Linked DNA regions of Ovis aries. The protein of the gene in region 1 interacts with the protein of each later gene in a biochemical or structural test. Links are inferred from orthologs where the notes say so. Each region holds a gene or a part of one and is shown on either strand. Other genes may lie near its edges.

What was found.
Region 2: the proteins of NFKB2 (region 1) and BCL3 form a complex in vitro, tested with the Homo sapiens proteins (2 studies listed by BioGRID). The link is inferred for Ovis aries from reciprocal best matches to the Homo sapiens genes NFKB2 and BCL3.

The regions. Positions count from the first base shown.
Region 1 is NC_056075.1:22,795,740-22,798,486, reverse strand, and holds the end of NFKB2 (nuclear factor NF-kappa-B p100 subunit), read right to left. Parts: coding exon 2,537-2,747; intron 2,384-2,536; coding exon 2,214-2,383; intron 2,099-2,213; coding exon 1,996-2,098; intron 1,868-1,995; coding exon 1,716-1,867; intron 1,586-1,715; coding exon 1,516-1,585; intron 1,281-1,515; coding exon 1,108-1,280; intron 995-1,107; coding exon 883-994; intron 785-882; coding exon 660-784; 3' UTR 501-659; downstream 1-500. UniProt on the Homo sapiens protein: NF-kappa-B is a pleiotropic transcription factor present in almost all cell types and is the endpoint of a series of signal transduction events that are initiated by a vast array of stimuli related to many biological processes such as inflammation, immunity, differentiation, cell growth, tumorigenesis and apoptosis.
Region 2 is NC_056067.1:52,307,989-52,312,278, forward strand, and holds the start of BCL3 (B-cell lymphoma 3 protein), read left to right. Parts: upstream 1-1,490; 5' UTR 1,491-1,736; coding exon 1,737-1,992; intron 1,993-3,322; exon of another isoform or gene 3,323-3,396; intron 3,397-3,641; coding exon 3,642-3,795; intron 3,796-4,290. UniProt on the Homo sapiens protein: Contributes to the regulation of transcriptional activation of NF-kappa-B target genes. In the cytoplasm, inhibits the nuclear translocation of the NF-kappa-B p50 subunit.

The sequences.
Region 1 (2,747 bases):
TAAGGGCCCCTCTGAGACCCCTTTTTTGTGATAATGTTTTGCACTTTTTCGTACAGGGGATGGGGGTGGGAGGGGCCAGGCCCCCTGGACTCTTGATGCTCCTTTTTTTTTTTTTTTTTTTTTGTGGGGGAGACCTGACGTTTCTGCTTTCTGCTGAGACCACCCCCACCCCTGACACCAGCAGTCCCCCTCCATCCTGGGGCCTGGCTCAGACACAAGCCAGGAGTTGGGGTTGAGCTGGTTTCCCTCCTTTTGCCCTGAGGGCTCACCCTCTCCCTTGCCAGAGGAGGAGGATGGATGTCCAAGCTGAGGCCCCGTGCACAGGCCAGGCAGTGCAGCCTTGCTTCCCTCCTTCAGTGGGCCCTGCCCTTTGTGTCACCTCCACCTCCATTAAAACTGCTCTCGACTTGCTGGCTGGGCCTCCTCCTCTCTCCCGTGCCTGGCCTGAGGCCAGGGTAGGCATTTGCTTCCCGAGGACAAGCGTCACACACATCAGGGGCTGCTGTAAGTTGGGGAGGAGGCCAGGCCCCCTCCCTTTCCCATGAGAATCTTTTATTTGCCCCAACTGAAGGGTGGGCATGGGGTGTTAAATAAGAACTGGAACAGGCAGGGTCACTGTACAGAGGGGGCCCGGAAGGGGCTGGTGGGTAGGGAGCGGTTCAGTGCACCTGAGGCTGGGGGCGCCCGTGGCAGAGCCCTCCTGGCGGCTCAGGGGGTGGGCCCAGCTTCTCTGTTTCCTGTTCCACCGACTGGCTCCCATAGGCACTGTCCTCCTTCACCTCTGCTGGGGGAGTGGACGCGGGAAAGGGTGCAGGGAAGCGTCAGGCCTTAGGCCTCCCACCCTCCAAGCCCAGATCCACCTCTCAGTTACGGCCCCTTTACCTGTGCTGGGCAGCTTTTCCTGGGTCTCTGGACCCTTCAGCAGCCTCACCCCCTCCTCCAGGCCCATGTCAGACAGGGCATTCAGCAGGCCTGCCAAGTCGCCACCAGCCAGCTGAGGAGAAGGAGGAGGCATGAACCAGGAGTTGTGGTTAGGGTGTGGGATCCCTGAGGAAGCGCCAGAGATCTGAGACTGGGGCATGGAGCATGGGCCGGGGCCTGACTGACCTGGTAACTGCGCAGGAGGCTGCCACTGGGCGAGGCTGTCCTTCGATACGTGTCCACCAGACTGCGCAGCCCCAGCCGTTCTGCCAGCTCCGCCCAGCTGCCCTGGGCTCCTGGCCCGTCAAGCAAATGCTCCAGGTTCTGTAGGACTGTATCTTCAAGGGGTATCTCTGGCCCTGAAGGGGACACACACATAAACATGTTAGTTACCCCCAGAGATGGCAAAGACAAGACACCCAAATGTCACCTTTATCTCAAGGCAACCTGATAGATAGTGCAGGCGGGGCCACTGGGGCAGTGGATGGAGGATGGGGATGGAGAAAGGGAGACCTCCTTCAGTGGTCCCGAAGGATAAGAGACCGCTGTGAGCAGGGGTCAAGGGTCTGGCAGTGGTGGGGGAGAGCTCTTCACCTGCAGGGCTGGGCGGGGTCAGCGGCGGCGCCATGGTGTCCTGAGCAGCGTTTAGCAGCAAGGTCTTCACCTAGGGAGACAGCTTCAGCCATGACTACCTCCCATCACAGTACTTGACCCCAGGTACCAGCTACTCAGGACCCCATGTACAAGCCCGGATGCCCCATCCCCTGGTACTGCTAGTCCTGGGCTGGCCTCACCTTGCTACTGCGAGTGAGGTCAAGAGGTGTGTGGCCCCGGAAGCTGCCTCGAGTGTCCCTCTCAGGGCTCTCAGAATCTGAGTCACTACCAGAGGTGGGAGGCGAAGGCAGTGGGCACAGGGGCTCCTCGTTCTCTGCGTGGACGTCAGCACCTGGGGGAGGGAGATAGTCACAGGGAGGCTCCCTCGGAGCCCACGTTAAGGACTGCAAAGTGCGGGATTGGGAGGTACCCCCTTTCCCCCGTCAGCCCTGTTCATAAGCCCCCGAGGGTGGGACTGACCAGCCTTCAGAAGGAGGCGGGTGAGGGTTGGGGATCCCAGTCCAGCTGCCAGATGTAGGGGTGTGTTTCCCGCAAAGGTTCGGGCATTCACGTTGGCCCGGAGCTGTGGGGTGCGAGGGAGGGGTTGATCATAGCACTGACTGATCCACTGGGCCTCCCCCGACACCTTCACCGTCCCCAGCCCTTGGCTCTACGTCTTCCACAGTCCTCAGTCCCACCTTGGTAACGAGATGGGTGACCAACCCCAGCTCCTCCATCTCTGTGGCTAGATGCAGGGCTGTCCGGCCCCCCTGACGCTCTGCAGCCTCCACTTCAGCCCCATTCTCCACCAGCAGATCGAGGCACTCGGGGCTTCGGGCACGGACTGCCAGGTGGACTGGGTATAGCCCTAGTGATACAGGGTATTCAGCCCGCAGCTCTGCCCCTAATGTGAGCCCTTGACCAGCTGACCTCCACACCTCACATCCACTGTAGGCGCTCCCCAGATCCTCTCCCTGGTGCCCACTCTTGCCCGCTGGTTCAGATGAGGTGATGAACTCACCTTCGAAGTCGGGCACATGCAGCAGTTGGGGCATGGCAGGAACCCCACTCCGCAGCAGGGTGCACAGCATGTCGGGGGCGCTGGCACCTGCCCGGAGTGCCAGGTGCACTGCTGAGTCTCCATGCCGATCCAGCAGTGCTGGGTCTGCGCCCACCTGCAGCAGGAAGCTCACCACCTTCGTCTGCCCTGTGATCACTGCCAGGTGCAGGGG
Region 2 (4,290 bases), on another chromosome or scaffold:
GCGAAGTCCCTTCCTGAGAACCGGGGGCCTTACACCCATTTTCAGGGTCCCAGGATGGGGAGACTGAGATGCAGACAGAGATGGAGAGACAAGGCGACAAGGCGGGACTGGAGGCAGAGGGACGGAGACCAGGGAAGGAGATCCAGAGACCGGGGGAGACACACAAAACCAGGAAGACCCTGCGTGCCGCCTGGACAGACCCGGGGTGCAGCACGCATCCCCTCGCCCCTTTAGGTCCCCCAAGTCTTCCGCTCCACCTCCCGTAAGTCAGTGACCGGGACTCAACCCCAGCGACAGCCCCGCCTCCAGGGAAATCCGGGAAAGCCCCGAGCGGCTGGGCCCCTCCCCGGGGCGGGGAGAAGGGCGGCAAGGGCGGGGTCATGGGAGAGGCCCGCCTCCGTCCTTCCCTCCCCCTGGCCCCGCCGCCCCCAGCTCCAGCCTGCCTCTGAGTCATGCCCCCAACCAGCCTGGCCTGTTCCCCACCCACCAACCCCGCCCAGGATGGGAGGGGGACGCGGGGGCAGAAGGGAAGCCCGCCAGCCCCCTGTCTTCTGGACCCGGGCTTTGGCCGCTGTGACTCTGATCCTGTGACCCTACGGCTCTTGCTGTCTCCCCGTCTCCCTCTTACCTGGCCTCTCACGACCTCTGGACCCCTTTCGCCACATCTGTTTCTCTGTGTATCGAGGATTTCGGGGGCACCCACCCTGTGCCCGGAGGCTTAGGCTGGGTCATGGGACCCCGAGGGGAGAGACACGTTCACGGTTTCTCTGTGCTCACCCCACCGAACATTCCCCCCCTTCACGCCCCCAGCGAAGTTCACACCCCAAACTGAGCAGGCACATGGAGGAGGCAGAGACGGGGGCAGGGCAGGCAGAGGGATCGTGCCCGGGCGCCCGCCGAGGGTAGTCCCTGCCCTGGGTGCGTCTTCTCGCTCCCACAAAGGAGGAAACGACTCAGAGAAGGGAAGTGCCTGGTCAAGGTCACCCAGCGAGGAAGTGGGAGTCTGGAATCGAACCCACGTCCTGGCGACCCCAAGGGCCTCTGGGAACTGCCTCCCTGGGGAGGTGGGGTCAGGGGGAGAGGAAGAGGCTGAGAGCAGACAGCGCTCCTGGGACAGACACACGGAAAGGGATGCCCAGAGACGATGGAGACAGAGACAGTGAGAACAGAGAGAGACACAAGAGATAGAGAGACATCCATCCAGACCCTCGAGTCAGGGACAGTTCCAGACTGAGATACAGAGATAGAGACCTACAGCCAGAAAGAGACGTTCTCACACACACACACACACACACACACACACACACACACACACACACACACACACACGCGCGGGGACGCAGCCTGAGGCCCGCAGCCGCAGGGGTGGGGACCCCGCGACCCCGCCTCCTTCCCACCCCCTGCCCGCCCCCGCCCCCCGCCGAGGCCCAGCCGCCCCGGGCGCCGCGGGGCCGGGAGGGGGCGGGCGTGGGGCGCGGCGCGGGCGGGGCGATCGGCGGGCGGCACCGCGGGACGGCGGGAGCGGCGGCGGGTCCAGGAAACCCCTGGGGCGGACGGGTGGCCCCGGGGGGGCCGGGGGCGGGGAGGCGGGCGGCCGGCACCGCCCGGGCCGACAAAAGTCCCTTCAGTTCAGCCGGCGGCAGGGGAAGTCCCGGCGCTCGGCGCAACCACCCTCCCGTGCCGCCGAGCCCAGCCGCGCTCCGGCCGCCCGCTCGGCCGCCGTCTCCGGCGGCCCCATGCCCCGATGCCCCGCGGGGACCATGGACGAGGGGCCCGTGGACCTGCGCACCCGGCCCAAGGCCACTGGACCCCCGGGCGCCGCGCTGCCGCTCCGCAAGCGCCCTCTGCGCGCGCCGTCCCCGGAGCCCGCCGCCCCGCGCGGCGCTGCGGGCCCCGTCGTCCCCCCGGATCCCCTCCGCGGTGGCTCCGACACACCAGCTGTGCCCGCGCCCCCTCACGGCCTGGCGCGACCAGAGGCAATTTACTACCAGGGTGAGTGGCTTCCGCAGGTCATGGCCGGGTGGGGGGCAGGCAGTGCAGAGGGTCACCACCCGAGTCAGGCGGCAGAGCTCCGACCTTAACACAGGGGGGCCTCGGGAGCCGAGGGACAAAAGCCAAGGTCCCAAGGACACAGAGAGGGGGTTCCTGGGGAGTTGCGGGCAGAGCCTGAGGTCCCAGGGGTGCAGATATGGGAGCTTCAGAGCGCCAGCACCTTGGGACACCAGAGCTCTAGGAAGCTGGGTGTCCGAAGTCCTGAGATCTGAGATGCACCTTAGGGAACCAGGAGACAGAGCCTAGCAGTCCAGATATTGGGTCTCAGGGAGTCAAGTCCCAGGACCACAGAATTATAAACTCTTAAGAACCCAGATAAATAGGGTTATAAGGAATCAGCGGCTGGACCCAAGAAGCTGGGGGTTTGGGGATCCTTGAACTTTATGTAGGGTCAAAGGGAGTGAGGGGAACAGAGGCTGGGGTTCTAAGAAGACATATCTCCATTTGTCAAAATCTCAGGAACCCAGATGTCGGGAAAAGATGGGAACAGAGTGAGAGTACTGAGCACCCCAATATCTGGGATCACAAAAACCCAAGGAAACCCATCCCAATACCAGGGGTCCTAAGAGTCAGCAGGACAGAGACCTGGGGTTCCAAGCACCCACTTCTGTGTGCTTGCAAGTGATCAGTGTCTCACTGGTGTCATGATGTCAGGAGGCCTTAGGGGGGATTTGGGGACTGAGGATTCTAAGAACTGGGGGGCAGGAGTGGGGAGTTCTGGGCCTAAAGGATATAGGGCCAGGGAGGATTTGGGGGTCTCTGGGCAGAAGCCCTGAGGGCACCAAGGCCTGGCATTGAACATGCAAGGACCAGGAAATGGGATTTCAGGAATGGAGCCCCCAAGGACCATGAGATGACAGAGAACAGGCACTAGTCTTTCCATCCTGTCTCCGTCCCTGATATCCAGGAGGGGGCAGCCTCTCCCACAGCTGTGCCTGCGTCACAATCTCCGTGTGGCCCCCAGAGCTGCAGAGACCCCAGGCCTTGGGCCTCCAGAACTTTGCTCGGTTTCTGCACCTTTCATCCCCTCAGGATACAGCTTCAAGCCCTCCATCAGGAGGCCTGTCACTGCTTTCTCCCCTTTCCCATTCCCCAATGAAAACCTGAGCCTCAGTTTTCCCCACCTGAGTGATGGGTAGATGTAGATTTGCCAGCTACCTCAGTGCCTTCCAGCAGTTTGATCTATGCCGGATTCTGGCACTATGCACTCTCCCCAAACTCTGTACACATTCATTCCACCCCCTCCACCTGGTGCTTCATCCACCCTTACCTTCCTCAGCCACAGATTCACTCAGCAAACTGGTCCTGAGGTCCCCATGCTGGGTGATAGTGCAGAATCTTTGCCTAGTAGAAGATGAGGGGTCAGACAGAAATAAAGATAAGTGACAATATCCAAGGCTGGGGAGGGGAGCTGCAGGAGCGCAGAGGAGGGCCGTGGTAGAGGAGTTTGTCTTGGGCCTTGAGGGCTCAGGAGGAGATGCAGAAGGAACCAGGGGAAAAGGGCAGGCGACACAGAGTGAAGGCCTGGAGCTGGGGGGCAGGCTGATGATCTGTGGGTTTGGCCTCATGCATGTCCTTTCTCTTACCAGGACCTTTACTGTCCCTGTACCCCACCCCGACCATGGGTTCCCCCTTTCCTCTGCTGAACTTGCCTACACCTCTGTACCCCATGGTGTGCTCCATGGAACACCCCCTGTCAGCTGACATCGCCATGGCCACGCGAGCTGATGAGGATGGAGATACGTGAGTGACAGTCCCCCATTCATGGAAGGGAATAGAAGGGTGGGGAGGCCAACCCTCCTCCCACCTCACCCACCCACTGCAACACAGGGGCACTCAGCACTAGCTTTCAAGTTACCTGCACTGAGTTAGAATCCTGTCTCCCCGTCTATGCAACTTTGAGGAAGCCCCTTTCCCTTTCTGAGCCTCAGTTTCCTCTTTTGAAAAATGGGCACCCTGAGAACCCTTACCTCCCAGGACTGTTTTTGAAGCAGTGGGCTTTAAAGTTTTTACCAAAAGCCAAAAATGAGAAAGACATTTTACAGATTGACTTATTATATGAATTAGACATGTTAAGCTCCTTGCACAGAGCCTTGTAGTGCTCAATCTGTATTAATTAATGTTATTATTATCATTATTACCTTTTGCTAAGCACACACACATATATAAACTTGAAATAAAAATTGCACAGAACAAAACAGCACTCATGCTTACAACATGGGAGCTACTTTGGGGTTT